2 linked regions of the Styela clava genome follow. The protein of the gene in region 1 purifies or fractionates together with the protein of each later gene. This does not show direct contact. Links are inferred from orthologs where the notes say so. Each region holds a gene or a part of one and is shown on either strand. Other genes may lie near its edges.

Region 1 (16,414 bases):
AAATAAAATAAAAAAGATACTCATTGGAGAGTTGACCAGAACTCTTACAGAATATTTTTGAGATTAGGCTATAAGATGGTTTGATCAATGGCATTTTCAGCTTTTAGGTCTGGGGTTTGACTCCTAGTAGGTCCATTTCATAACATTTTTTTGTTTTGCATGCAATGTAGGAGACTATCTAATAAATACAATACTTATGTATTAAGCTGGTTGAATATTGTTCGTCACATCAAAAATTTCTACTGAAAGATAGAAGCCAGAACATACCAGTGGATACGGTAACTGCCTGAGGCTTGAAATAAGCGATAATTGGAGTGATATACCGGTAACAGTTAATACATGTATGATTAGGGGAAGATCGAGGACCTTGAAAATTTATCATGAAGCAAATTCTCCAGTCCAGTCTCGGATGATTTCATACTTTGCCAAGATACATTAAATTCAATTGGGCTTCAAATGACAACATGTACAAATCACTTTGTTTGAAATATACATACAGAAAAACTTGGTGCGACAAATGGCAGAAAATTTTCACTATTAAGACATGCAACGGCAAGAACAATATGATACAAAGATGGAAAACTTGATAATGTGACTATTTGATTACAATATTATATTCATAGTGCTTATAATGAAATTGCTTATTATATCATTCTTTATAAATAGTACCTTACAGTTTGCTGAACAAATAATCACTATTAATAAATAAATAAATGCCCTTTATTTCAATCCAGAGTGTATCTGTTGGCATTTATTCCTAATCTAGTAAGGATGAAGGGTACACAGAGAGAAAGAAATGAATTAGATTTCGGAAGGCATACTAAAAAATGTACCTAATTACATGGAGTTCGTGATGTCCAGCGAACTGAATATTCGAAATCGGATCAAAAACGATTCGAATTGTTTTCGGCCAATATTATCTACATAAAGCGGAAATATCCTCACGACCCGATATTTCTCTAGCCTTCATATTGCGATGAAAAAGGGTGTCTCTCCTAATGCCGAGGGTATATATCATGCGTAGTCATGACTGACAAGTTATTATTGGCAGTATATGTTTAGAGAGAGTACATAAGGGAAAAAGAGCAATTTAGTATCCATAGAAAAACGATAGTTCCATCAATGCAAATCAATTCGAACATTTCAAGTCAGTAATCGGGAAGCACACATTGTGGAGGTTTTATGATGGCAATACTTAGTATTAACCATCTATTAACAAGACAAATAACTGCACTCTTGCATTCTGATGGCTGGTACAGTAACAATAGGTTCATCTAGGGATATTATCATCATCAAACTAGCTACATTTTTGAAATTTTTGGGCAACAGTTTTATTTATATTAATGTTTATTAAAAAATTGCACAAATTCAGACTAGTGATAACAGGGTTAAAAGAGTATATACAGGCCACACATGCCCTATTGAAACTGAATATATAAGAATTGAGTAAATAAGGTATTGGGAGTCTCTGTAATTTTCAACTTTCAACACTCATATTTTAGGGAGGCATGTGATTTCCATACTCCATTGATAACTCTGGAAACATAGTTATACAAAATATCATCAGTATCATTTTAAATGTAACAGCATAATACGTTATTACAATATCGAAATAGGATTTTTGGAGGATATTCGTTTCGACAAATTATACGATTCGAATCAAACAATTATTCGATTTTGGACAGCCTCATGGAGTAAAAATAAATAAATAAAAATAAATTAAAAATCTAATGAAACATTTGATATTGCAAATATCAATCCTAGACAGAGTATGGCTAGGTCATTTTAGAGAAAATTGGACATTCAAGAAGATTTCAATCTTGTTATTTTCAACATGTAAATATAATAATGTAGCTATGCAAGCAATGCAATAATCGAATGATGTATAAAATCTGATTGAATAATTTTGGAGTAAACTTTTCGAATAAATCTCATTTATAGAAATGCAATTTTAAAGAGAAACAGTACAACAGTCAATAAACATTTAAGATAATTTTACAAAAGATTGTAAACATATAAGTCTATAGGAAAACAAAAATAATTAAAGTAAGCATCGTATTTAAGTCTTGGCATAGTAAATAATATATTAAAGTCGGTACTACACATTGCAGGGCATACAGATGCTGAAGTCATCAATAGTTTAAGGTATTGACTATTGATCCAAGGTTACGATTAATCATAGGGATGTTAGAACTGCTCCTGTTACTATTGGCTCAGTCCTACAAAAAGTTTTGAAATACGCAGTGTCAATACTAGCAGCATATGCAGACACATTACCAATCAAATAGATTAATGGATGATGATCGAATAAAACAGCATTTCAGAATATGATATATTAAAAGCATGGTGTTTGGGGTTGCACACAGTGTAATTGTAATTATAATATGAATATATATGAACAAAATGCATTGATTCATAGATTAAATTTAAGGTTAGGACATAGTGATATCATGACAAATGCACACTATAGGAAATAGTACACAAAGCATATGATTTCAGTTGACCACGTTGCAGAATCATCCTATTTTTGGCAGAAGTAAAGTGAATACGGTAAAGATATAGATATATACATGTATAGCTCAGATATAATTCTACTAATGGTTTGTAAAGATTGGGAGAAGCAGACCAAACACAAGAACAATAGTAAATATATTTGTTCCTGGATCTTGAAATAATGTATAGTGAAAAATAAGTTGATCTAGATGTTATACTGTACACGGTGTAAAAAGTAGGGTCATGAATAAATAGTTTAACCTTGGTCAAAAAATGTGAATGCACAAAATGGGGGTGAAATTGTTATTATTGAAAATGACTTTCAGGAAACTTAATTATAGAATATGCAATGTTAACACAAACAGTATAAGCAGATACATAGTATTCCTAATCACATAAATTCAGGATTGCACACAGTATACAATTATGATTACAATTATGATGAACACTGTTCATTGAAATGTTTACATTTCAAGGTTAGAGCTTTATGGCCATTTTAACAAATGCAAGCTATAGGTAATTATCAGTTGTAGGTAATACTACATCATGTTTTGCCAATAGTTAAAGAAAATAAAATGAAAAAACAAATAGTTATGCAAGCACATGTAAATTACAGGATTTAATACCAAAAAGACATGGTAATCAATAAAAACAGTTATATAAACTCCCTACCATATAAGTCCAAGATCAACCAATCAAATCCAACGGTGTGTGGGACAGCATACAAGCGGTTGGTTGGATGATTAGGGTATTAACTTTTGGGGAACTTTATGACGCAGTTATTAATAAATGTCTGATATTAATATTTATCGATGAGATGTTTCATATATTTATACTTAAAACTATTGTATGATGATTCTTTGATATTGTCAGGAATACTGTTCCAAATACATGGACCAGTGAATTTTATGGATCTCTGAGCCAAATTTGAGCTTGTTCTATTAACAAAATAGGCTCCTCTACCAGCCGACCGAGTATTATGTCCATGGATATCACTAGAGTTTGTGAAGTAGTTTTCAAATGCATCCGGCAAAATACCCCATTTAGATCGAAACATAAATTTCGCAACTTCAAATTTATATACATCCGCAAGTTTGAGAATACTCATCTGTCTGTATATAGGATCTAAGCTTTCACGCATACGTGCGCCACTCATTAATCTTAGGGCACGATTTTGAAGTACACAAATCCTATTGAGATAAGTTTTACAAGCAGAGCCCCATGCCACAATTCCATATTGTAAATGGGAATAGAAGAGTGAAAAATACACAGTTTTTAAAACTTTTTTTGGTACAAATTTTTTTAATTTAGTCATGGCCCCAATTGCCCTTGAAAGCCGACCAGCTAGTTGGTTGATATGTGCTTGCCAATCAAGTTTTTTATCCAGGATGACTCCAAGGTATTTTACACAATCATGGTTAGTCAATTCAAAATCGTTTAGAGTGAACTTAGGGTTGTAATTGGAATTTTTAAGCTTTTTGAAACAATTAATTAGTAAGACTTGCGTCTTGTTGGGATTAACGGTGAGTTTGTTGTGAGTGAGCCAATCAGAAATATTATGAAGTTCAACATTAACTTTTAGTTCCAAGTCGGACAGATTCCTTGTAGCAGAGGTGGAACTGGTGTCATCCGCAAAAAGTTTGATCGAAGCATTAGTGGCATGGACAATATCATTGATATGGAGCAAAAAAAGGGTCGGGCCGAGTACAGATCCCTGGGGAACTCCTACAGTCACATTTGCTTTCAGTGATTCAGTACCAGATATGTTCACAAATTGACTTCTATTTTCCAAATAGCTAGCAAACAACTTGTTTACAACACCGCGAATTTCATAATGACTTAATTTACGAATTAAAATTTTGTTTCACTTCAATTTATGTTATTTTGTTCTATTTATTAATTATCCTCCAATGAAACGGTTAATACAACCAAACACCCCAAAGAAACGGAAAGCACACATCAAAAACAACAATACCAGGCAGTAAAATGTAAGAAAGCAATATACACCATAAAAACACTAAACTAGCTACTTACAATTTGCAAAATAGGCTGAAAATAACTTATGACAGGCATTTTAAAAGACTATATACAATTCTATGTGTGCACAACATTTGAACAGTACAGATGATAGCTAATACCATGACAAAAATGAAACAACAACACTAAATGAACTGCAATGGCACTACACGCAAACAGCAACAGGGTCCCAACATTAGCTCTCCGTCCAGCACAAAAACATCCAACCAACCCTAATCCAACAGTCACAAAACCACAAACAAACATCCCCGATAACCCACCGGATATCAGAGGCACTTCCACAGACACAAAACACCCAAAATCCAGCCACACTCAGACAACTGCACCCTGCCAACCACAGCACACGCTAACAGGCCACATCCAGAAGACTGATCGACAGTGTCACATCGCCCCCAGTGTCTTCAATGCCAATGCCAATTCTTCCTATACTTTACCATTGCAAAATTTTCGGGGCTATTTTAAGAGTGCTTTTGCGAGTTGGCGCCTGTAAAATGGGGTATGTGTTACAAACCATCATTATGATTCATGGCATACAACAATCTTTTTTTTAAAAGTACCGGTAAAAAATTTCAGGCTAGTCTATCACAGCTATTTCTACACTAATTTTTATTAGTGCAATCAAATTAAAACTCCTAGGAAGACAGAGTGATCATTGAATTATTTGATTTATATTTAAGTTTCCGAGACACAACTGAAAATTAACGAATAGAGTTCAAAAACGCGAAAACGAGGTAATGTTTACAACCACACTTGAAAATCTGTCTGAGTGAGAAAAGTGTCTGAGCGGATGCGAAAAGGGGGCATTGTTACGTCACTTTTTGCATCTTGCTGATTAGCCAATGTCACGAAGTAAACAAGGAAAACGATGCTCGGGGAAAGGTATACCATACTTATATATCTTTGATATGACATTCGGTACAATTCTTCAAACGTTCGGGTGAAATTTTTCTGGCAAAGGCGGGAAATCCTTGGAATTTGTATTACAGCATTCTGGATCTGGCACTGGGCAAAGTGACTATAACACTTTGGCACTGGGGAAAGAAGCGAACGCAGTTTTTCATTCAGTCATTGCATGTGCTATATCTGATATCGTTACGTACCAGTAACGTATCTTTCAACCGGGGCCTTACTACTGTACCTGCGTAATGTACCGGTACCGCCAAACGCAGCAAACTGCACGAAGCAGAAGAATACGTTCCTGCTGTCCTGGGAACAGTGCAAAGGCGAGTGGAAGTGGTGACTCTTCTACGGCCCATGGGCCGGAACCACGGCCCATCGAAATGGGCCTCGGCCCATCAAGTTGTGTAAAGGGACAAAATAATAAAGACTAATAAATATGGGGTCTGGTATAGTTTAGTACCACATGTACTTCTAGTTGACCTGGCTCAACAATTTTTGCATATGTCAATCCTAACCCCCACCTGACCACGTCACCGAAAAATTACATCATTTCGACGTCACAGTGGCGTAATAAGGCCCACCGAAGTATGCGGATGCTCGTCCAAAACGCACAGACGATCACCCGAAATCGAGCAAGCAATTTCTCTCGTTTTCTCGTCACAACGATCACTATAGGAGAGAGATCGCCGGCTTTAGCAAGTTCGTTATCAGCGGCGCAGATGTCATTTCGGGCGATCGTAATTATACTTTGGCAATCCCCATGGCGTGATGGTGACGTCGTAGTGACGTAATTTTTGGATGGCATAGTCAGGTGGGGGTTAGGAATAGCATATGCAAAATTCGTTATGCTACGCCCACCGGAAGTACTTGTCGTACTAAATTATACTAGACCCTAAATATGTAAATCCTACCCACTCCCCGAACTTATAATAGAACTACATTGTGAAAAATCTGAACAAAATTTTGTCCTAACCCTAACCTGGTACACATACTTCAGGTGTATCTTTTTCTGTAGCTTGGTATTTTGCTTTATTTTTATGTAAAGGCTTATCGTAAGAAAAGGTTTGGTGGCATCCCACGATTTTTTTTGGTTTGAATATTGACAATTTTATAAAAATTGAAAATTTTGGTGAGATAATGGATTTTTTTCTGATGGGCGCGGCCCATAGCTTGATGGGCCAGGGCCCATGTGGCCCAATTAGATGGGCCGTGGCCCCGGCCCATGGGCCTTAGAAGAGTCACCACCCCTGTAACGACAGGCAGACAGGAAACAGCACGAAACATACGGTAAAACAGTAAAAAGCTTAATATGTAATGTTTTTCAATTATATCTGTATATACAGATATATGTGTACCGTATGTTAGTACAGTCTGATAGTACTGTAGGGATACGATAAGGGTACTGTAAATACTGATATATGTATAACGTATATTGATGTAAAGATGTATCATGATTTAATTCCCCTAAATCCAGTACAGCACGCTATCCAAATTCCAAGAATTCCCCTCCATTTGGCTCAATAAAACAAACACTCTATGTGTCTCACAAACGAGGGGCGTCTGGGACCACGTCAGATGCTTCATATCGCGCCATGATTGTCTTAATAATAATCTAAATTAATCGCGGCTGTCACGTCCCCAAAATTGCCGTTTTTTGCTAAGAACTCTCAAATGCCACAGTAAAAAAAATTTTTCTTTGGTAAATCGGATTATTTTTTCCCAAGGAATTCAATGATGACGTTATTAGATTGCGCTTTTCTATAGTATTTTGCGCAACTCCATTATACTGTATTATTACCGATATTGAGGAACAACAGTGTCCATCAGTCCATAGAATCAAATCTTGGAATCCTGACTTTATAATCCAACCCAGAGAGTTACTCAATCAAGTAGAATTTATTTTGATTCCTTCTGTTCTAAAATATTATCAAGGTATTGCCATAATAATATGTAATTAGGACTGGGCAAAATATTCGTATAGCGAATCGAATATTAAATTATTCGAATGGCATTTTACTATTTGAATATCCAGTACCACTTTGCTTGGACACGGAACTCGCGCCTCTCGAAATCGATCGTGAATCGCGCCAGAATTCACCTACAACGCTCGATTGTTGAAATGTCTTGTCTGAAAGTTACTATGTACTTGAAAATTTTAATAACAAAATCTAAAATTTTACTCTTTTTCTGTATCGGTGGAGCCTCTCAAACTGTTTTTCAATGTCAGAATGTCTTGTTATAATTATAAATTATGGTATATGCTTTTATTCTCGTGTTAGTCTTCAGCTTTTTAAATATATGTATTTTATGGGTTTAAACTTGCCACTTTGTTTGTAGAATGACAAAATTATTCTAAAGGTAATTTAATTTTTACACAGTTATGGATAAGAGAAAGCCAAACAATGATGGTAGCTCTACCTCCAATGGCAAAAAGATCAAGATGTCAGACATTGCCACACAGAACAACTGGGGAAGACCAACATTACCAACAATAGATCCAAACACTTACAACATACAAATTCAACAATTGGACTTAGATACATATTTGTCCCAAGAGCCTGTGGCGGGTATATATGATATTCCATATGGATGTGCTCCAGTGGTTCGCATGTACGGCATAACTGAAAATGAACACTCTGTATTATGTCATGTACATGGGTTTCTGCCATATTTTTATATTCAAGCCATGAAAGGTTTCAACCCAAATGACTGTGACGAATTCTGTGAATGTCTCAACGATGTTGTTTTACGTGACATGAAAGGAAATAAAGAAGTCAAAGTGGCTGTAGCAAAAGTTGAATACTGCATGAAGCAAAATATGTATGGTTATAACAGCCTGGGAAAAGTCCCATTTCTCAAAGTCACAGTTGCAGTTCCACGACTTGTTGCCACCACACGAAGGATTCTGAGAGAAGGTTTCAAAACTAAAAAATACCCAACTCACAATTATCAATCATTTGAGAGCAATATTGATTTTGAAATTCGTTTTATGGTTGATACAAAAGTGGTTGGTTGCAATTGGGTAGAAATTCCAGCAGGAAAGTATAAGGTGCGATCTGGATCAAACTGTGTTTCACAGGCTCAACTTGAAGTTGATATAAAATGGACAGATCTCATCAGTCATGAACCGGAAGGCGAATGGCAAAAAATTGGGCCATTGAGGGTGCTGAGTTTTGACATTGAATGTGCAGGTAGAAAAGGCATTTTCCCAGAGCCTGAAATTGATCCTGTCATTCAAATTGCTTCAATGGTGAAACGAGAAGGAGAAAAAGAACCGTTCGTTAGAACAATATTCACTTTGAAGAGCTGTGCTTCTATTGTTGGCTCACAGGTTTTTTCCTTTGACTCAGAATCTGAACTGTTACTGGCATGGGTGAATTTTTTGAAAGAGGTTGATCCCGATATCATCACTGGTTATAACATAGAAAACTTTGATCTTCCATACCTGATCAACCGTTCGCAAGCACTGAAAGTAAAGGAGTTTGCCTATTTTGGACGAATAAAAAATGTTCAATCAAAAGTGAGGGAAACAAGATTCCAGTCAAAGCAAATGGGAAGCAGAGAAACAAAACATGTCAATATTGAAGGCAGAGTGCAGTTTGATGTATTTGTCGCTCTTTTGCGAGAACAAAAGTTGCGTTCTTATAGTTTAAATGCAGTGAGTTTTCATTTTCTTGGTGAACAAAAGGAAGATGTCCACCATTCCATCATAACAGAGTTGCAGGAGGGAAATGAACAAACAAGAAGACGACTAGCTGTATATTGCTTAAAGGATGCTTTACTTCCTTTACGTCTTCTTGATAAACTGATGCTTATCATTAATTATATTGAAATGTCCAGGGTGACTGGGGTGCCAATGACATATCTGCTTACTAGAGGTCAAAGTATCAAGGTTATGTCACAATTGTTGCGAAAGACATCGGTGGAGGATTTGTTAATGCCAGTAATGGAGAGCAGTGGAAGTGACGAGCAGTATACAGGTGCCACTGTTATAGAGCCTGTTAAAGGTTACTATAATATTCCTATAACAACTCTCGATTTCTCCTCGTTGTACCCCTCAATTATGCAGGCTCACAATTTGTGCTACACCACTTTGTTGAAAAACAGTAAGGAAAAGGAGAAATTGCAGCCAGAAGATTACATCACTACTCCTACGGGTGATACATTTGTGAAAGCATCTGTTAGAAAAGGATTGCTCCCAAAAATCTTGGATAGTTTGCTCACAGCCCGTCGTAAAGCTAAGGCTGACATGAAAGTGGAAACAGATCCATTTAAACGAAGTGTGCTGGATGGTCGTCAATTAGCCTTGAAAATTAGCTGTAATTCGGTGTATGGTTTTACAGGTGCTCAGGTTGGAAAGTTGCCATGTTTAGAGATATCAAGCAGTGTCACCGGCTTTGGTCGAATGATGATTGATCAGACAAAACATCATGTTGAGAAGAAATATACAATTGATAATGGTTATTTTGCCAATGCTTCAGTTGTGTATGGAGACACAGATTCAGTAATGATTAAATTTGGGGTAAAAACTGTTGCAGAAAGCATGGAACTGGGCCGTGAAGCTGCTGGATTTGTCTCTGATCAGTTTCCTTACCCAATTAAACTGGAATTTGAAAAGGTGTATTTTCCATATCTATTGATTAACAAAAAAAGATATGCAGGATTGTACTTCTCTACTAGTGCTGAAGTTCATGATAAAATGGATTGCAAAGGTATTGAAACCGTTCGTCGGGATAATGCGCCTCTCACTGCCAATCTGATCAACAGTTGCCTGCAGAAGCTTTTGATAGATAGAGACCCTGATTCTGCAGTTGCATTTGCAAAACAAACCATTTCTGATTTGTTGTGCAATAGAATCGATATTTCTCAGCTAATCATAACAAAAGAGTTGACAAAAACAAAAGAACAATATGCTGCAAAACAGGCTCATGTTGAACTAGCTGAACGAATGCGTAAACGAGATGCTGGCAGTGCACCGCAACTAGGTGATAGAGTTCCTTACGTTATCATCTGCGGTGCCAAGGGTCAAGCGGCATACTTAAAATCAGAAGATCCCATTTATGTGCTCGAAAATAACATCCCTATCGATACAGAGCATTACTTGAAACATCAATTATCTCAACCCCTCCTTCGTATCTTTGAGCCTGTTTTGGGTGAAGGAAAAGCGGAGTCAGTTTTGTTAAAGGGAGATCACACTCGTGTGCGCAAAGTTGTTACCTCAAAAGTTGGTGGCTTGATGGCTTTTGCCAAAAAGCGAGAGACTTGCATTGGATGCAAATCGTTGCTCAAACACTCTGGTGCTGTTTGTGATCACTGCGAAGAACGGGAATCTGAGATCTACCAAAAGGAAATTCTAAAATTGTCATCTTTTGAAGAAAAATATTCCAGACTGTGGACTCAATGTCAGCGTTGTCAAGGTTCACTTCATGAAGAGGTTTTGTGCACAAGCAGGGATTGCCCAATATTTTACATGAGAAAAAAAATTCAAATGAATTTGGAATCTCAACGAAAAGTGGTAATGCGATTTGGTGATTGGTAAATTCTGTTTTATCATGATATATTCCAAGATTTATGTTACACAATTTTTGCGTAAATCATGATTCATGATATCATTGTTGACGTGTTAAATGTAACAGGAAAACTGACTTTTTGAATATTAAAGTGTAACATTGATTTTCTTTAATACAATTCCTTTGGTCGCTGGGTCAGTTTTGCCGGATTTCTTGTAATATAGAAAATTTGATGTAATGTGGGAATAATGACATTAATAGTTTTTTTTCTGTTTTTTGGGGGGTTTGCTTACGTCTTCATAGACAGTTGACATAAGCAGGTTTAATTAATATCTGCTATAATGAGTGTATTGTTGAAAAATAAAAAATTGTGATATCATTTCCATTTATCATGTTAAGGAGTAAAATTTAGACAGATAAATACGCCTTGGAGGGGGTTTGGGTGAAAGGTTAAAAGCTGCTCTAGGGCTATTTTGAACCTTTTGTTAATAGTAAGTTTTATCTGAACATCTGTGAATTAGAGATATATCGGCCAGATTTTCGGTATCAGCTAAATTTAGACCGATATTTACGATATATTTAGCTTCTCAGTATGATCCAGATTTCTTTTAAAATAGGTTAGAATACTGATCTTGAAATTATTTTTGTTTGGATGAATGGTGAACTAAGAACCGTGCACGTCCCCACCCCCGCTAGTAGAAACGGGAATCGGATTTTGACTTGTTTTTAGCCACTTATCAGCCAAACTGGCTCAAATCAATTTGAGTAATTTCGCTGCCAAATTTTTAGATTAAAATTTTTAATATTACATGGTAATAATAAAAAAATTTATCAATCGAATATTAGTGGATGTTCCGATGTGTAAAATATAAAATACGGCGTTATATTGGCACAAAATCCTGCGCACGTAACACAACGTATGAGTTTCATACGATAAGTAGGCTAAACATATATTTATTTTACCATCAACGGTAGTCAAATCCTATTAGTTTTTTAATTGAACATCGAGATTACCAGCGACAGTGCTCAATGCATCTGAAACGCATTTCGATCTCAAACATCTACTTCTTAACACATATATATATACATATATGTGTGTGATATTTCTCTTTTTTGATCCGAAATAATGCTCAAAGACTCTTATTTTAAACCGTCTGTCCTGTACACTTGAGGTAATAATTACATAGTATCGGTTGTTTTCGAATCGGCATCGGCGACAAAAGTGGTATCGGTACATCTCTACTGTGAATAGTCTCTGTTGTCCCAGACAAAGAACAACCCTGACATGATGACATTTTTGTATTCTGGTGTTCTTGTTTGTGGTCAGATCCATATTTAAATACGTTTTTCCTGGTACAAGCAATTCGTGTACTGGACTTCAAAGTGGCAATACATGATCTCTGTTGCACCAGGACAAATGAGGCTTGAAATAGAACCGAAATACGGTACTCTAGCTCAGGACTACTCAACTTGCGGTCCGAATCTTAGACCTTTCGAGTGCTAAATTTGGACCGCAGCTACTTCTTGACTTTGAACGCATTGTTTCTTTTTATTTCACAATCGTTATGTAATGCATTTTTCGCTAAACGACTATGAAAAACCGTCATTGTAATAAAAGTTTCTCAGAGCATCGACTCACTTTTGTGATTGATCAAGAAGATATTAATTCCGGCGCAACTACTGCCATGAAGTTTTAGTGACTTCTTGTATACATTTTTCGCAAATTCTTAGACATGGCAGTGAACGTTAGCTTGTTTTTGTAGCTTATAAATATTCCATGTATATATTTCACACGCTCGGCTTCACAACTGAAGCCTTACGGACACCGAAGCGTGATATTAAGCCTTGCTATTGTGTTTTGTCAAACTATGCATTTGTAATTTTGTTCCATAGCTAAAAAAATATTCTTGGAACGACCGGACCCCGGTAATTTTTAAATTTTGTATACAGACCTTTGATGAAAATAGTTGAGTAGCCATGCTCTAGCTATTTAGAAAATGTTAGAATGTTCGCATTTATATTAGGTGTGAAATTTCGACCCCGGAAAGATCCACACTGCGTTCAGTTGCCCAAAAGTATTGTTAGGCTCCGAGCTCCATCGGCCACAGCGATAATATTCCTCAGTTAAATGGAGTGGAATTTGGTTGTTCCATTATTATGTATCGACGAAACTGGTGGTAAAACTAAAATGCGTAACCTTAGAATGAAACCTTGTTTTCAAGCTGCCAGATCGCCAAGAATATTGGTATTTTTGTGACATAGTAACCGCCTTGCTTATATAAAATGTCAGATTTTATCTTACTTACTTATCAATAATTACTTATCAATGTGTAAAATGTTGACAAAAGCTAACCCGAACGTACGGAATATCGTGGTTTTTCGGCTCGGCGGAGTGGCGCATCGTTCTAAGCGTTAGGAATACGCTTGCCACCGCATCTCTGATTATTTGCGTGGGTTCGCAGGTTCGAATCCCATGCGGGGATGATTATGTGTGAGAGGATTGCTGGACTCCTCGCCGCCGTAGGGTAGCTCACATAACCGCTGGTCGGTAATGGCTTCCTCCACCATCAAGTCCATGCTTCCGAAAACGAATAACTGGCTAACTAATCCTATACCCGACCTGGACTGGTAACCGGCCGTGGTTCGCTATATGATTAAGCCATATTATCGGATTTCCTCTCCCCCGGGATAAATATGTAAATCCTATCCTAAGTGTGCAATGTTACTACCTGGAAAATATTTAGCGATGGGGGACAGTTTGGTGAAGTCGATGCCTAAAGTGCGACATTTATTAAAACGATATAATTATGTTTTCTTTATGTATTGATTGCATATGTGCGTGTCGGATCGGTACCGCTGGTCAAATTATGCAAATATGATGACCAAAGCCAGAAGACCAGCCAGAGAAGTCGTGTTTTTCGATACGTGATCATCAACGCGCGACATGATCGTACGTAGCCTACGTACTATTTCCTTTATCAATACCTTTTCATCTGAAATCTGTACGTTTCAAACCATACTGGAGGTTTTGTTTGCTTTCCCGATTCTATAATCAGTTTTATTTATTTTGTTTTTATTATTATTTTGTTTGTTTTATCAATTACTTTATCGTCTATGCTGAATATGGAGTCGAAATATACTTATGATCCGCGTGCGGTTAAGTAGAATCTGTTTAAAATTAAGTGCGATTGCAAACCATTTTCACCAATCCAATCTGTTTGCCACTTTCATTAGACCAGCGTTTCCCAACCTTTATTGGCCGCGGACTATTTTTTCACCATGGAAAATCTTCGCGGACTCAAGATGCGTTAATTGTGTAACCGAACTCTGCATGAAGAAGCTATAGAACCAAAAACAACAGAATTTTAACGAAGTCAGTTTATTATCCACAATTACAAATTTAAATGGGAATCATAGCGTGCTCCAGTGGCGGCGCGTGGTCATTTTGACAACCGGGGCAAGCTACTGCGGGACCAAGTCACCCCCATCTACGGGGACAGGATGAGCGCTGTAAGTTCTCCCATCATTTTATGAGTATAAAAACCATTCCATCGGTAACAACCAATCGGCAAAAGCGACAATTTTTAACGATAAGAAAGTGTCTTTAAAACCGGTCCAAGTCAAGGGATTAATAAATATAGACATAGTTTATTTTGAAACCTTTTTCAAAAGGAAAGATACAATGACATATTAACAGAAACTTCGGGAAAGCAGACAAAACCTAAAATAAGGTTTAAAACGTTACTATGAAGAAAGGAAAGGTAATGCAAAGATAAGGACATGCGTCGCTCACTCATAGATATATATGCTGCTAGACTTCTACTGCTTGAACATATATGCAACACGCCGCGGTTTCTTGGAAGCAAAATGCTCAATAACGCGCTGATTAAAGTCATGCATACCAGAAATAACGTCTCTGTGAATGGATAAAACAGCCAAGGAATTTAATCTATCTTGCTTCATTGTGTTTCTGAGATACGTTTTAATACGCTTCAGCGTGCTGAATGTTCGCTCTGCGTCGGCGGAAGAAATAGGCGTCGTCAAAATGATGTCCAGAAATTTTGCAGACGCCGCAAAGGTAGTTACTAGAGTGTTATCTATGAGGAACCCATAGAGCGCGCAAGTTGATGTGATGTTCAAAAAAGTTTGATTGGTGTATATACATCGCAATTCATTTTCCAATTTACCCACGTTTATCATGGGGTAAAATTTGGAGACAGTAGCCAACAAATGGATGGGAAATTGACGTGCAAATTTTGAAAAATTTTCGGGGTTCATCAAAGAGAACGCGGCAAGGTGTTCAGTGCGCAGACGATCGCCTATTTGATTCACCAGAATGTCACAGCATTCCTTTGCAGATAAAATCAAACGCTGCGTTGTTTGCCCGCGGCGTGAAGAAGCACTCCATGTGTCGTCGTATTTTATTGTTTCCCGGATACGAGATACAGCATCGCAGAAGTCTGAAATACACGACTGCATAGACGCTCCATCCATTAGCCTTGACTGCAATGCGCCGTATAATACATCCACGTGATAGAATATTGTGGAGAAAAAATGAAAACTCACCATCTTCTAGCAGACGCTTTAGACCTGCCGCCTCCCTCACAGAGCGTTCGTCCCAAACCGGAGAGCTCTGAATGCCATTGAAACACTCAATGAGCTCAGACCTAATTTCGGACACGCCCTGCACCACGCGTGATTGGAAGTTCCAACGTGTTGGTGCACAAGCTGGGAGACGGCGGCTACATATCTGGCGAAGGAGGTCAGAGCGCTTCAGCGAAACGGAAAAAAATGACGAAAACCCCGAAACATTTGCAAAAAATATACGGACGAGAGGGGTATCAAGACACATATTTTTAATAACGAGGTTAAATTGGTGTGCATAACAATGTAAAAAATGCGCATGAGGAAAATCTTCTTTTATATAAACTTGAACACCATGTTTCGACCCACTCATGACTGCCGCGCCGTCATAAGTTTGAGCTATCAATTTTGACTTCGCGTTGTAAGGCTGTAACACTTCTTTCAGTACAACCGATATCCCGCAAGCCGTGCGATCAACGATTGGTACAAAGCTGTGAAATCTCTCGGTAGGTTTACCATCTTTCACAAACCGAAAAATCACAGCCAGTTGGGAAACGCACTTGATGTCAGTTGTCTCGTCAGACTGAATCGAAAGGAACTGGCAATTCTCAATTTCCAGAGCCAAATGTTGTAAATAAATTTTATACATTGAGTCGAGCAAATCATTTTGGATATCCTTAGATGTCCCTTTCGAAACAGTTGCGGCATCAAGATGATCTCTCAATACTGTATCTAGGGATGCGGTGTATTCCACCATATCCAAAATACCCCTCTATTAGAAGGGCCAGCCGGTTCATCGTGCCCACGGAGGGACAGCTCGTGACAACCAATGAACTTCAAAACATCTATCAATCGACCGAGAACATGGCGGTTTTTCTCGACGTTTTGGT
Region 2 (16,565 bases), on another chromosome or scaffold:
ATCTGTCTTAGCGAACGAAATCTCTGAGCGGCTGCAAAAATTACAATTGTTACGTCAATTTTTGCTGATTGTCTTCGTTACGGTAATAAACAAGGAAATCGATGCTCGGGGAAACATCCTTTCTTTACAGTCACAGTATCTATTGACATATTTGTGGCTACCTGTAACTAGGGCTGGGCATTCTCGAATACCTTGTGATTTCAGAATAGAATTGAATAATTTTTTCGAATCGAATCTCGAATACTTGAAAATATATATTTGTAAGCGACTTTATTATAGTAATTGGTTCTCTCAACAAATGAATTACTGAAGACATAAAATAAAACACTCAGATAGATTACTGAGCGTTCACACAGAATAACAAACACGTTTTATGAATAACTCACTACAGAAAATAGTCATATGTTAGAATTTCGTTGAAAAAATATGACTCCAATGAAAAAAAAAATTGGGGAATTCACCTCGACCATTGGCGGAAAGATAAAAACAAGATGGCGGCGATTCAAAATTTAGCTCTGAACCGATTCGAATAATTTACTATTCGATTCGAAATGCCCAGCCCTACCTGTAACTAACTTATTCCCCAAATATATTGCTTCAATCATGTGTGCATGTGCCAACCGTCTGTATTCGAATCTGCATGGAGTAATTCATCCATAACTTTTATGCTTTGCTTTTAGATACCTTTGGGCAATTAGTCTGTTTGATTTTTTATGCTGAAACTATTTTTATAATTACTGATGTGCCATTTTGCGCTGGGAACTGAATCACGATGATTTCTCATAGTTGTCATGTATTGAACATTTTACGCGGCAGAAAAGTCTTCATGCCCTGAAAAGTCGAATTTAAGGGAATGGAAATTTAGGATTTTAAAACCTCCGCACCCCCCCCCTTTTTTTAAAAAAAATTCTGGCTGCGCGCCTGTTTTCAAATACCTTTGTGCAATTAGTCTGTATTACTTTACAGAGTTAGGTATTTTTATAATTACTGATGTACTGATTACTATATGTCCCATGGTGATTAGTAATACGCGATTTTGCAGAAACTAGATTGTGGCGATTTCACTGGAAAGGTGAAATTTCAATAAACTCAATGGCACCATATTGTATATCTGCCGTGCTTCGATTTTATCGAACTGAATTATTACAAGTTTTAGGATTTTATTTTTAATTACCTCATTTAATTTGGTGCTCATCCCATTTAATAGAAAGTACTCACTTTGAAACTCGCGTCATATCAATATACCGCTGTCATTTTTTTATTGGATTGAACGTTTTAATAATCGTGAATGCTTCTGCTGTTTTATTGCCATATTTGAAAGATGTGACATCTATTTTATTTTTAATGCCTGCCATTTTAGGTACTTAGTACTATCTATTAGGGATGCTCTAAACCAGAGGTGCACAACACCAAAGCGACTACCGTATCACTCGATTATATTGACTTTGCACTTTGATCGCAAAAACGTATTCAAATCACAAATCATTCACGACAATAAATTGTTTCAATAAATAGATATTCGTTATCATGTTTATTATTACTTATCGATCTTAAGATCGGTAAGAAACAAGATCTTAAGATCGGTAAGTACATTGATAGGCATTTGTCTGTATGTCTGTCTGTGTGTGTGTCTGTTAGATGCACGCGATATCTCACAAAAGCGAGATTGAATCTGCTCCAGATTTTGCATGTGCATTCATCTTATCTCGGATCAGAAGCCTATTGATTTTGGGCGAATTATGTCGTATAATTAGCGAGTTATCAATCAATTATTGATATAGTGATCTAGATTTTTGTCAAGCGAGAGAATTTTGAAACCCGCCGAGTGTGTGTGTGCGTTGCGCAGTGCGCAAGTTACAAGAGCGGATGAATCGAAACTGCAGTTTCTGTTTTGGGGGATCCCCTAACTATCGATCGATAAGTCTTCGGTTTCCAACCGGTATTCTCGTTTAAATTTGTTAATGTGTGTTTTACGGGAGTTCGTTTACAATACCAACGATTATGCGTGGCACACGACAAGATTATTTTGAAAAATTTGGTACATATCCTCATTTGAGTTTTGCACACCTGCTCTAAACCAGGAGTGTGCGACCTTTACCATAGGAGGACCAGATCCATTAGCTGGCAAAACCACGGGTCGCGCCTTCATTTAACAAAGGCTTTCTTGTAGTTTTGGTTAACATTTTGGTTATTGATCCTATGACATGCATTGTTCACTTCGCATAAGCTAGCTGGTAGGGCGTTATATCGTCATAGATAATAAATTCGACTCTTTGCAACGTAACGGGATTGGAATTACTCGCACAAACCGATTTGAATAAATTAAAAACTTGTTTCGCTGGCCTAACAATTCTTTCTTGTGGGCCACAGTTTGCACACCCCCTGATTGGATTGTCAGACAAATGATAAACAATGAGGTAGTGATTACCAACCTTTTTGTGCTTGTGACCTTCCGTTTCTCATTCCAGTGGTATTCATAGTGTTATTTTGATCAAATCCTATTATGTTCAAACAATTCTTGCTCAACAAAGTGAAAACACTCCTGTGAAATAACCTTATCAAGAATAGAATTTTTTCTTGTCAAGGGGAAAAGTAAAATCAGTTTTGTGGCCTTCCTTCAACTGCCCTTTGGCCCCCTTCACGGGTCCCCGGTTGGGAATCACTGCTAAAGGGCTCGGCACACATAAGATCAAGGTTGGGCAACATACGACCCGCGACGAGATTTTGACTGGCCCGCTGACTGTATCCAACCACACTCTGTAATGTGGTCCGACGCATCATTCCTGAAAGTTGCCGATCGCTCTACTCTCACCGCACTGTCAGTGCGAGCTGGTGAAATAAACAATTGCCTTAGTGAACAAACAATTGCGTTAGCACACTTGTTAAACAAACAATATAAGGTCAAAGCAGAGAGCGTTGTAAACATTCCCCACTACTGTTATCAGTTATGTTTAGAATCTAAATATAAATAGATTTCAGAAATTAGATTTTATATCAAGTTTTATTCACCACGGAATATCCCAAGAAACGTAAAGTTGACAGAGAGTGTCGAGCATTTAACGAAGATTGGATACCGAAGTATTTTTTGTAGTAATCCGGCCCGCCGAGGGCTTTTTTTTTTCACATCTGGCCCGCCGACTAGAGAAGTTGCCCATCCCTGCGTTAGATGGTGCTGATGAAATTCTACTCTGACAAAATAGCTAACAAAGTAAAGCTTTTTTGCTGGTGAAATTTTGCTAGACATATTTAGTATACTGTATTTTATTCAATATTTCTTCGTACTCGCTCTGAATGTTTTTAATTAATCAATTTTAAATCTTTTGCAATTAGTTTGTTTTTCTGTAACAGCAATCATTTTTTCGAAATAAACTTTTCAATCAAAGCGTTTCTATTTTATTTTAAAGGAACAAGAACTCGTATTATAAATTGTTGAGAGCCGTGCCGTAAATTGGTGTCATCCTAAATTTATTGTAATTTGAGAGAATTTCAGATTTGTCAGTGGGCTGTGATAACCATTAGAAACAAAAATTACCACTTATTATTCTATGCAAGTTAGCAGGTGCCGATTAGGTAAGAAATAATTAGGAATTACTTGTTGTAGGATGGTTAACCTAACTGCTGGTTAGTTTTAGATTCCTTCACCAAAGTCCACAAATCAACTATAATGGACTGGTTTTTGCCATACAATCCAGGGGGCTCCCGAAGTATGCGAACCAAGATGGCGGACATCGGAACGTAACAGGTTAGGGTTAGACGATAATTTTTTTCCAATTTTCCTTATTTTAGTCCTATTATCAGTTCGAAGACTAGACAAGAGCCTCCAGTAGTATTTATACCTAATATTATGGCCTAACCCTAACCTAGTACACATATTACATTGCGATGTCCGCCATCTTGGTTCGCATACTTCGGGAGCACCCAATCCAGTTATGTAATAAACTTTCCCTCCCCCAGGATTTTAAGAAAAAGTATCCTATTGGAATTGATTTACATCAGGGTTTCCCAAACCTTCCGGGTCGTGGTTCCCCTATTTGTGAATCTTAGTTTTGACCGGACTCGCATGCTATGCCATATCAATTTCTGGGCCTAACCAACAAGGAAGGATAATGTTTAATACAACAAACAACATTTGCTTTTCACTGCACAATTTTTAACTCTAGGAGCGATTTGTGACAAGCAAACTCGAAGGGGCGACTCTACTGTCTTCATATTGGTCCAATCAGACTCTTAATATCGTTGCAGACCCCTTGTACATTCATCACGGAAAACCCACGTACATTTGAACCCATGCGTATATCCACGGGTTCAATCCATATGCGGGTGCCAAAACCCATGGGTTAGGGTTAGTATGGGTTTAACTATCCGTGACACAAAAAAAATTCCATAGGTGCAAATTGTCATGGGTTCAAATGTACGTGGGTTCAAATGTAATGGAACCTCGTTGCAGACCCTGACAGGCATATCAGAAGAAACGAGGCTCCCGAAGTATGCAAACCAAAATGGCGGACATCGGAATGTAATGTATACTAGGTTAGGGTTAGACCATAATTTTAGGTATAAATACAACGGGAGGCTCTTGGCTAGTCTTCGAACTAATAATAGGACTAAAATAAGGAAAATTGGAAAAAAATTATCGCCTAACCCTAACCTGTTACGTTTCGATGTCCGCCATCTTGGTTCGCATACTACATACAATTTTCAACTCTCGGAGCAATTTGTGACAAGCAAACTCTAAGGTCCGACTCTACTGTCATCATATTGGTCCGATCAGACTCGTAATATCGTTGCGGACCCCCTCACATTCATCACGAAACCCCAGTTTGGGAAACCCTAATTTTGATGTTACCCACACAAATGACAGGCATATCAGAAGAAACTTATCATCTGGGCTGGCAGGGTGCTTTCTTCTAAAAATAAAATCCAGTCAGACCTTGAAATTTTCAAAATACTAAATCGTGGTAGCGATGGCTATGTAGCCTCTCGGATATCAGAGCCACTTGTACTGTTAAAAAAATGACTGAAACAACAAAAGGTACAGAAACTTCATAGAATTATTGGCGCTCCAGAAGTAGGTGTACCAATATGGAGGTAATTAAAACCTATTCACTTGGCTAACACAGACAATCCCTTAACTCGTAATAGAACTAAAAGTAAGAAAAAAAACCATGACCTAACCTCAACCTGGTACACATACTATGGGAGTACCAAATTATTGTCATGGAATGCTGCTCAGAAACAGATTGCAGGAATGGCGGCACCATTGCAAAACAACAACTTTGAAGACCAATTGACTGCATTTGCGCTCTTCTACCCCTATTGCAAGGCTTTCCTTGTTGTTCCGAGGCCACACATAGTCACATGGTTTTTAAAGGATGTCATCGTTTAATGTAAAACAGCTTCATAGAAAAATCCATTATCTGATACTAAGTCGCTCTTAATCTCTCTCAAAAAAAAACAGGACCCATAAAATTATTAGTTACTTCAACGAAATTTATGGAACACTTGAACTTCTGTTTGTGTATGATTGTCCCCAATGAGTTTCCGTAATCAAGGACGCTTGGCACAAAAGTTATATTCTCTCCATGTTACAAATGACCTTGGGTTCTGTTTGTTTAGTCATCTTGTATTATCTTATATTATAACTAGGGATGTCTAAGCGAACAGAATATTCGAAATCTAATCGCAAATTATTCAAATTGTTTTGCGGCTAATTCGCAAATCGGTAAAATGAGGCAAAAAAAGATTCTATTTTGGACAGCACTAATTAACCCATCTCAAGTTGCACAGCCTCCCGTTCAAGTTTTAAGTTCTTGAAAAAGCAGTGCATGTAGCATGTACAATGCTATAAATATTTCCCACTATTTATGACAAAATTTGAATAAAGAGTTATTTTTTCTTGAAAAACCCCATAATTGATGCTTGTTTCTGTTGTTTTTTTGGTTGAGCTGCAGTAGATATCGCTGGAAATTTTTTCGTTTTTGCTTCTGTGTCACCATTTGCAGTATTGTTTTTGTGGTTTTGTTCCGCTTGATCATTGTTACCATTAGCAACAGGTTCTGCATCATCGCATTCTTCAAATTCATAATACTTTTGTGTTACCATACACCCTTCTTCATCAACAAATGTTCGACTTTTCATGACTTTTTCCCTCCGTTTATTAGTTTTGACTTCTTCAACAAATTTTTCTTTCACAGGTTCGGGTTCAATCACAGGTGGGGGTGAAGGAGGGGGAATTCCCATCTCTTCCTCGTAATTTTCATCTTCGTTTTCATCCTCACTACTAGAAGATAACATTTCCTGAATTCTGCGTCGTTTCTTCGCTGGAAGCTCGTTCGAATCATGCCGCGAATTTTTTTTGTTTTTATTCGGCTTCGGTTTTTCAACAGGTTTAGGTTTTGTTGATTTATCAGCGACTTTTTTCAAACTTTTTACAGATTTTTTATCAGTTTCAATAAAATCATCCTCGTCATCCGAAAAATCATCAATTCTTAGGTCATCTTCTTCAACTGAACGTTTCGATGACGATTTTTTATTTTTTTTCTCTGTTTTCAATGATTCTTTTGTCTTATCTTTTTGAGGTGACTTTTCAGTTGTACTGTCCCTTTTTGAAGGCTGTTTTTCACTCTTATCGGACACTGTTTTCTGTTCTTCTTTTATCACCGGTTTTACAGTCTTACTTTTTGCAAACGGATCGGTTTTATTTTTTGTTAAAAACGCAGCCACGCCCTTTTTCTGCCCCTTTTCCAATGGGGGATCAGGTTTTTTATTAGAGTTCAATTTTTGGGGTTCAGCGTCGCTTTTCGATGCTATTTCCTCTTTAACTTTCTTTTGTGGGGGTGATGTTTTCGTTTTTGTAAAAAAATTGACTTTCTGCTGCACAGGTTTCCCTTTTTCAAATGCTGGTTTCGCAAATTGTTTTTGAAGATCCGCAGAAATCTCTTTAGCACCACCTGGTGTTTGTTTTTGTTGTTTAACTTCATTCTTTGATAAGCACTTTGCACCGTTGTACGTTATACCCCCAAATTTCGAAATTCCGCTCAGATTTTTACGATGAGTGTCATAATCAGTGGAATACAGCACAGCACTGTGTTGAAGTTTCATTTTTTGCACGCTATATAACGAAACACTATAAACTTTATCCATTTTTGATTTCGCTGAGTCAAGATCGACATCTCGAACGACCTTTACACTTATTCCAGCTGAGTCATGTCCTATTATTGCATAAACAATGTGAATTCCATTGTTTTGTTTCTTGCATGAGTCAGCGTAATTCTGAAGAAGACTTTTTGCTTTGTTGGTTGGAATAGCGAGTTGTTCGCTCAGCCATTTATAAGTGACCTGGAAGGGAAAAAGAATAGTTGTTGAATAGGTATGGAATTGAAAATATTGAAATTTGAGGAAAATTCCCATTTTTAAAATTTGCAAAGGAGTAAATGAAATAATAAGGTTAAAAAACCGGGTCTAATGTAGTTTCTTACCTAACATACTTCTAGTGGGCTTAGCATGACGATTTTTTTCACGTATCAATACTATCCCCCACCTGACTACACCATCCAAAAATTACGTCACAGTGACGTAATACAGCCCTTCAAACTATACGAACTGCCATCCAAGACGTACAAATGAGCACCCGAAATCGAACAGTTATTTCTCTCATTTTCTCGTTGAAACGATTCCTATAGGAGAGAGACCGATAACGTCAGTCAGTTCTTTATCGTCGGCGCCAATGCCATTTCGGTCCATCGTGCGTATATTTGGCAAGCTCTATGACGTCATTGTGATGTCGTAGTGATTTAATCTTTGGATGGCTTAATCAGACGAGGGCTAGGATTGACATATCAAAAAATTGTTATGCTACGCCCACTAGAAGTACGTTAGGTACGAAACTACACGAGACCCAAAAAACCTTCTGACCTTGGATATATGATACTTCGTTCAACCTTTCTATGCACAAGATTTTCGATTTAGCCACAATATTTCTATTTTCTGTCATTACCAAGACAGCAAGGCCTGTCTACTGAACTACTAAATGCATATGATAACTTTTCACCTACTCGGACTTGACTGAATAAGGAGATGAGAGACCTGGCTTGCAATATAATCAAGCCCTGTTATCCTCAAATATGTAAAATTTCATCTCCTGATCTCTGTGTCCCAGAGCTGCAGAGACAGGAAACATGAAAAGTAAATTGGAAAAACAAAAACCCCAAACTTACGATTCGATTTTCGTCATCTACGAATTCGTCCACAGTCGCCAGAAATGCATCCAACTCATCCATACTTCAAGAAATAACATATAAACAAAAATTACAGGGCAAAATTTTGTTGAACTGCAAAGTGCAATACCGGTATTATTAAAATGTAGAATTAGGAAACAGCGCGAAAATTAATGATTGACGCGTTGGTCATGCGTAATAAAATTGTCACAAGATAGGTTTGAAACGTTTTGTAGTAATGAAAGCTTGATTTAATTTAAAATATTAATCAACTTATTATTTTAATATAAAAATGTATATTCAATTTTGTTTTGGTCGTCTTCCATTTTTAATAAATCATTCAAGTTTTAGATTCGGGAGATGGCGATATAGAGCTAATATGGTAAATTGCAGGGTAAAAGTGAACAAAATGTTCTTTTCATTTTAATTAAACTTATATCGAATTGCCACACGGTATTCCGTGTTATGATAAATTAATTTAACCGTTGCATCTATATCGTGATTTCTACCCTCATTTTTCGCCTGAATACAGCGGTTTTACTTGTGTTCTCGAAAGGCTTGTTCACCGAAGAAATGTGACAGTGAACACGGAATGCTCGGAAAAAATAATGTTTATGGCTACTTTACCCCGCATAATCCTCGTCAGTTCTTACATGAAGCGTAAGATCTACATCGAGTTAAGCTTAAACTTAAGTATACCTCACGTTGTAACCGTTTTAATTAACCAACGTTCGTCGGTATTAGTTTTATAAAATGTTATCGCAAGCTTGCGCTAGGGAGCAATCGCACCATATTGCAGGGGTAAAAATGAGCAAATGTTTATTCTTCTGCGAATCTTAAAAAAAATGGTTTTCCTCTCCTTCGTCTTCCTGTATTCGTCGGTAGTTTCCGTCCGTATCAGAGTTTTAGTCTTTGAATTTACAATCCTTTCATTCCTTGCTTTTAACGGATGGAGGCAGTTGGAAGGCCGCGAATTTATAAGGGATATAAATGCAGGAAATCTGCAAAAACCAAATTTGTTATTTTTCGTATTTCTAAAAAGATAACGCTAATCTGAGTATAGTTAGAGTCTCTTAATGGTAATGGCATTAGGCTGATGCCAAATCGTCCAATCGGAAGTTAAATTGATGGAGGGGGGGGGGGGGGGGCTAGACCACTTCACTCACAAAAGCCAAAATATAGGCAAATTAGAGTCCAGGATTTTATCAAATATTATAATCAGTAACTTATAATTAATTTTAATTAAAATGAACTACGGCAGTATGGTACTGTAGGTAGGATAGGATTTACATATTTATCCCGGGGGAGAGGAAAGCCGATAAGACGGCTTATCCATATGGCGAACCACGGCCTCTCGTCCGGTCACCATTCCAAGTCGGGTATGGGATTAGTTATATTGTTTGTTTTCGGAAGCATGGACTTGGTGGTCGAGGAAGCCGTAACCGACCAGCGGTGACGTGAACCACTCAACGACGGCGAGGAGTCCAGCAATCCTCTCGCACATAATCATCCCTGCATGGGATTCGAACCTGCGAACCCACGCAGAGTAATAAGAGGTGCGGTGGCGAGCGTATTCCTAACGCTTAGCCCGCTGAGCCACACCGCCGCGCCAGGTAGTAGAAAATATGTTATGAGAATATATAGTCTAGCTTCCTAAAGGTTCAAGCAAGGTTTCCTTATTGAAAGTCATGGATTTTAGACTAGGAAATATAATTGAAGTTGTTGATTACTCAAGTCAGTTCAAATTCATCATAGATAATTCATCAGCCTTTCAATATTGTTTCTTTATTTCCATTCTTCTGAATTAAGTGTTTTATAGCAGTGGAAACAGTTAGAAGCTGTTAAAACTGCAATAACGAGGATATAAAACCTGCAAGCTTCAAAAACGTTTTGGAGCGTCTGCATTTGAGATGAACTGGAATATTTGCCAAAGAGTGGGTAACATGCTGCAAACCTCAAGAGTGTTACATCATAATACTTCCACACTGGGATGTATTTCAAACTATCACATGAAATGTAACTTGCCAACCAGAACTGATTTAAATTTTATTCAAAAAAGAAGAACACAAACTTCATATTTTTCTCAAAAACTTTTTGAAAACTATGCACAAAGGACTTCATTCTTATGTTGCTTTTCCACTGATGTTAAGAGCCGATTTCCATCAATTATTACCTCACAAAGAAGGGATGCCTCTTCAAAACGATCAAGCAAAAAAGCTCAATACTATGCAGAAAAAGGGTGAGATAATATATTCAATAGTTAAAAACTTAGATAAGATAAGATAATTTATTTTGAACTCTGGTATGGCACAAAAAATGACTACACACAGGATCAAGATATAAAATATTTTTGAATTTTGAAAAATTATTTCAAAACATGAGACAGAAAGTATCTCGCTTAGGTTATAGGTGAGAAAACATAATGGATACACTTTTTTTGTCATTTCGCTGGGGAGCATTGTTAGCGTCTATTATTGTTAGCGTCTATTCCTATTTATCTTGGAAAAGGAATGCCAATTTGAGGGTTCAATCATACGACAAATCGTGGCATCTTGTCTAAATTGGGAGTATCAAAATCAGTTCATTTTTTCAGACTTGCTGGACTCTTCCTGTCGCAGAGTGATATAGGCAACCACTGGTCGGTTTCAGCTTCCTCAACCAAGAGAGGCCGTGGTTCGTCATATGATTAAGCCTTTTTTATCGGCTTTTCTCCTGGGGTAAAAAATTTTATCCTAATTTTCAGTTTAAGGAATTCATCCACTTTTTAGACATTCAAGTCGAACGAAGCTATACTATACTTTGAAGCAATACATTCGATCACCAGAGAACGCTGAAACGTTCGTGTCCCATCTTAAAGAAGAGGAACGCCGGTTTTTACTCGCTGCTTTAGAATCTTCTATTGGTATAAATACTAACTCTGAACAGCATGGTGAGCTTCTAGCTTAGTAAATGTTTTATTAATATTTAAAACATTTTGAGCTCTGCACGGTGGCTGGTGATGTAGCACAGGGCTTCCCAAAGTTTTAAGCTCGAGACCCCTTCCATATTGAAAAAATTTCCGCGACTCCTGTTAAGTCGGTATTTCCATGCAAGCGTGCCGCTTCTCCAATGTATTATCTCGAAATTGTGAGATTTATGTTTTGCTCTAGTTGTGTTTCGATTCGAAAGTCTAAAAAAGTACAAGAGATAAAGCACTTTGTGTGAGATTGGTGTACTCTTTGCGACCTTTATAATTCGTTGCCCCCCATCTGCAGGGTCACGACCCCCAGTTTGGGAAGCCTTGATGTAGCATGTAGGAATTCACTCTTCTATTTTCTATGGGGTTTTGAACTTTATGAAGAATATGCTCATCTCTGAGCAACGAATCAAAAGGCAAATGAGTTGAGCCTGATGGTTATTCTGATGATAGGGTCATAGCACATCATAGGAAGCATTTGACTCAACTTTAAGAATTGAATATTTTAAGCTTTGCATAGCAATGGATGCTGGTGATGTAGGATCTACCAACTAACTCTGCCTATCTTGGAATTTTTTATAAAGGGCACATGGGTCATCCCTGAAATGCCAAGGGTGCCATACAGTATTCTGACAATAAGGAAACATATGTTTAACTCTGTCTCTTTTACGTCTGAATGGCTTTCAAGAGCTTTTCTTCTAAGTATACTCCACCAAATCAGTATTTACTAATGTTTAATTAATCACCATAATTCTATATAGTTTCAATAGTTCACAGCATTTCACTGACCATGAGTCTCTTTTAATTCTGAGTGAGTGTGTGTATTGGACCACATTAATTCCATGTAGTTTTATGTAGTCTTACTGCATTCACATTACCTTGAAGAAAATTTCTGTATAAAGAAACAATCGAAAAGATTTTTACTGCTTTATTCTTTTTTCTCTCTGAAATCATCAAAAATAAAAGTCTTGCTAGCTTTCACACTTAGCTGTAGAATTCATTGGATATCATTAGGTTTATCCATATAATTCCTTGAATGCCTAATTATATTATTTCCATGATTAAATGTTCATATATTAAAAAAAATTTCCTGGTAATGTAAAGTTGATGAAGTCACATTTTATTTCTATTACGTAGGGAACCCGTAATTCTGAAACGTAATACAGTGCAAACAATAAAATGCTTGATTGGGAAGGAACGTCTCCCATTTCCAAGAAGGCAGAATTAGGGAAACCTATATTTGACTTTCAATTTGTGATTTTAAGCTTGATGCTATAAAGTGTAAATGTATATATTATTTCCAGGTGAGGACTCAGGACAGATCACCAAGCGACAGTTATATCTTGGTGAGTAATTTTACCTTTACATGTGTGTCTTTTAGAGACTCGAGAAAAGCTGAAAAAAACAAAAATTTCGGACTTCGGATTTATAAAAATTCATGTTTAATAATGTTTCAAAATTTTTCGTTCACCTGTTTATTGCACTAAGATGAAATGGCCCACCTTTATGGGATTCAAACCCTCGATTTTTATCCTGTTCTTCACAAAAGTCCATTATGTCCCATTCCATTAGGATGATCCAATTGCATTAGTTCAATGTTGTGGCATCACAAATAGGCCATTAGTTAGATGCCACACCATAAATTATGCATGATGTGGTCTGTCTTAATGCAATAACAACTGTTATGACTACTGCTAGTCCTGAAGATTGTTGACTACAGCTTTTGATTTCTGAATAAAGGTTGGCGTATGAGTAAGACGTCTTATCGACTTTCCTCTCCCTTGGGATGAAAATGATATCTTATAGCAGTGGTTCCCAAACCGCGTTCCGTGGGCCTCGTGAAATGATTTTACATACCAAATACCGCCAATTGTTATGTCATTATCGCAGTTTGAGGGTGTGTGCTCTTTATTCGGCCCGCGAATATCCTTTCGCTTCTAATTTTGGGTCAATCAATTTTAAGAACCACTGCTTTATATTGTGCCTGGCTAAATATAGCATGAGCTTAGTCGGGACGTTAAGTTTTCTTGTCATTCGATCTCTAAAGCTCTACATTTTTTGGCGAGCACTTGCCTAGTTTGAGGGTTGAAAGCATCATAGATCAGGGATGGGCCAGTTATACATAACAGACATAGTTACTGGGCCGTTGGCTCAAAACTCTATATTAAAAACTATCAATAAAAACAGTTTATTTACAACAGCTAGGCTAACGTTTATAAAATAATAAGAAGCACAATGTAACAATCAGGGTCATTATGACGTTATTTTCGTAGATACGGGAATTTAAATCCATGAAAACTATAGTCGTAATTTCAGCAGACACAAGTGAAGTGATGAAACACTTTGGTGTGCCGCTTCCATCCCATGGCCGCAATTAGCCCACCTCTAATATGCTTGACCCTTGAGAGCTTATATCAATTTCAATTAGAAATTCATATATTCTGAAATTCATTCAAAAACTACTTTCCCATTATGCATGACATTAATTATTCATGCCCTGTCATGTTCATATTTATGCGCTTAAATCAACTATTGTCAAATAAATGCGCAAGATATGTCTTGCAGAATAATTGTTACACTTCAATGAATATTGCTGTCGTCATGCTTCAATGAACACTTCTTTGCGTCCTGGTTTTGGGTGTTTCTGTCAATATAAATGTATATGTAGCACGAGGAAATTATTGCGAGATGATGGAATAAAATATTCACACTTAGTGGAATTTACTTTTTATAATTTTGTGCCAATATTATTGCCCAAATGAGTCAACTTTTGTCAGCAAATAAATGTAGAAGATATATCTCATATAATGTTCTTTAGGCACCAATGAACATTGTGTTGTGATTTCCATTTGCTGGATTAAATCCAGGGCTATGCTGTCTGGAAAATTTGCAGCCGTTTAAAAATGTATAAAAAATGATTTTATCTCTGACTCCATCTTCATATTAATAGAAAATCAATGTGTCATCACACAAACTTTGACTTTATTAGCATGCCACAATAAAGAAAACTTTATTTTTCTCAAAACTTTGTGCTTGTTGGAATTGGTTTTCACTTCGATGAAGTCATAGAAATTATAAATTGCACATCATGTGCTTGTTTCCCTAATTGCAGTTCAATAATCTGCTGGCCAGCGTAGGTATTTATTAGCATCCTCTGAGACCTTGACACGAAAAATTTGAAAAACACTGCGTGGACCACGTTATTCGGGAATTTAAAAAAAATTCTGAACACAATTGGATGAAATATTGATTGATTTTTTGTGAGAAACATGATCTCACATTCACTTAACTTATTAAACAACACTATACAGCAACCATGAACCTCTCAATGCAATTTGCAAAGCCGCGCTCATTTATTATTTATAATGCAAGTGTGTCTGTGCCCAAACTCTGCGTGACATAAGCCAGATTAAATGGGTCTTTGTAATTAGAGAGAAAATACAAAAACGGCCTATGGCTTTGAATAAAGAGATTCTGAACTAACAGGGCGATACTCATCTGTCATCAATAAGATTTCAAATTATGTTTTCCCACTGTTAATAAATTGAGCAATCACTGATTTCTATGATTCTCTAACTTTCACACGAAGCCACTATAACTTGACTATATTGCATTCAGAAATTAAAAATCCAAAATATCAAGGGTCGTTAGAATATTTGGATAAACCCTGTAAACCAGTAGGACATGGCGTCTATATTTTAATCAATAACACATAGAACAAAATTAGTCAAAATAGTTGGCTCTCCTGAAGTATGTGAACCAAGATGGCGGACACCGAAACGTAGTATGTGTGCCAGGTTAGGGTTAGGCTATAATTTCATTCCAATTTTCCTTATTTTAGTTCTATTACGAGTTCGGGGACTAGCCAGGTGACTCTCATAGTATATGTACATGAAATTATGGCCTAACCCTAACCTGGTACACATACTAGGTACCGGTGTCCGCCATCATAGTTCACATGCTACGGGAGTACAAAGTAGTTAGGGCCAACACCCTTATTATGAGACTATCATGTCATGTCCACTGCTAGATGAGTCACCCCAATAATCAGCCGTAAATTCTTGTGTTTCAGTTTTCGTTCACAACTGTATCCCGTTTATTGGTTTTGGATTTCTCGATAATGCAATCATGATACTGGCGGTAATTTATTTTGTTTTGTTGGTTCGAGGGGCCTAATTGAGCCAGTTTTGTCAAATATCTTTTTAATTAGTTCGTGTTCAGCAAAGATATTGTGAATTCATAGATATTTGATTTGAAATAAACCTTGAGATTATCAAATTTTCAAATGCAAAGTTCCAAGATTTCAAATGCTTGAAAGCTATTTTTCCTGTTGGCAATAAGTAATTTTATTGTTTGAACAAAAATAATTCATCAGAAAAAATCATACGGCGCTGAATTACTAGAAACATCTTTTAGTCAGTTAATTGTTGATCTATTCAGACCAATTAATTCTGTTAAAACCGCCTTAATCCAGTTACGACCATTCTCACTTTAGTTCACTCCCATGAGACACTTTTTTGTTAAAATAATTGGATTCTTCACTGAATTAACTTTCTTTGTTTTCCAGGGGGAATACATTGACCTGACTATTGGCGTTACCTTAGGGATTTCTACAATGGCAGGTGGGGATGGATGATTTATAATTATTGTAAAGTGGATCCATAATGTGTCCAAAAAATCTCAGATGAGAAATTTTCTGTGCCTGGCAAAATACTTTCTTACTTTCCCCTCCACATTAAGATCTTTTCTTATGATTTCATTATTTCAAGTTGTGTGTGAGTGTGTGTGTGTAACCTCGCTTCGAAAAAACATGCTTTTATATTATTGTGGTTAGATAAAATGCCTGCTTCACTATCACAAGACACAGAACAGAAATCCATAAAATACACTGGTGTGAAACTGTGGAATGCCTTACCAAGTAGCCTACCATTAAATCTTTAGGCTATTACGGTTTTAAATTATATCTAAAAAGTAAATATATTAGTTATTATCTCTCTTCCATCAGCCATTGATTGGAGTATTCAGTATGATTCGCCATCTTCTGTCCATAGCCCAGTAGTCGCATTTGTAGACTGTCGCCATGGCTGCCCAAAAAGCCGGAGGAACTATAGGTGTAAGGAGTCTATTTCTAAAGTACCCGGTACTTTAACTTTACCAACCTTGGTGCAACCTCTACACTAAAATGCCCAAATTCGTTATATTTCAATTTCTTGAGCAAGCATATGCCTACCATTCTTTCGTAAATTTTATGCCCACTTGCTGTGGAGCGTATTGTATATAAATATATATACATATCAACGTTTTATGATTTATTAAAGCTTACCAACTTCTATTCAATTAATCACTTACAATTTTGTCTTTGGTGTAACCATTTTCCCCTCGCTTGTCGTTTG

The links.
Region 2: the proteins of DNA polymerase delta catalytic subunit-like (region 1) and DNA polymerase delta subunit 3-like purify together in Homo sapiens (co-immunoprecipitation; 8 studies listed by BioGRID and IntAct, with this or other methods). This does not show direct contact. The link is inferred for Styela clava from reciprocal best matches to the Homo sapiens genes POLD1 and POLD3.

What each region holds. Positions count from the first base shown.
Region 1 is NC_135250.1:14,613,244-14,629,657, reverse strand, and holds DNA polymerase delta catalytic subunit-like, read left to right. Parts: upstream 1-7,491; 5' UTR 7,492-7,810; coding exon 7,811-10,969; 3' UTR 10,970-11,321; downstream 11,322-16,414. UniProt on the Homo sapiens protein: As the catalytic component of the trimeric (Pol-delta3 complex) and tetrameric DNA polymerase delta complexes (Pol-delta4 complex), plays a crucial role in high fidelity genome replication, including in lagging strand synthesis, and repair.
Region 2 is NC_135257.1:21,467,029-21,483,593, reverse strand, and holds DNA polymerase delta subunit 3-like, read right to left. Parts: upstream 8,371-16,565; 5' UTR 8,280-8,370; coding exon 8,217-8,279; intron 7,339-8,216; coding exon 5,887-7,338; 3' UTR 5,363-5,886; downstream 1-5,362. Other genes in the region: transmembrane protein 65-like, read left to right, coding at 10,127-10,455, 10,985-11,145, 12,477-12,518, 15,245-15,312, 15,740-15,794. UniProt on the Homo sapiens protein: Accessory component of both the DNA polymerase delta complex and the DNA polymerase zeta complex.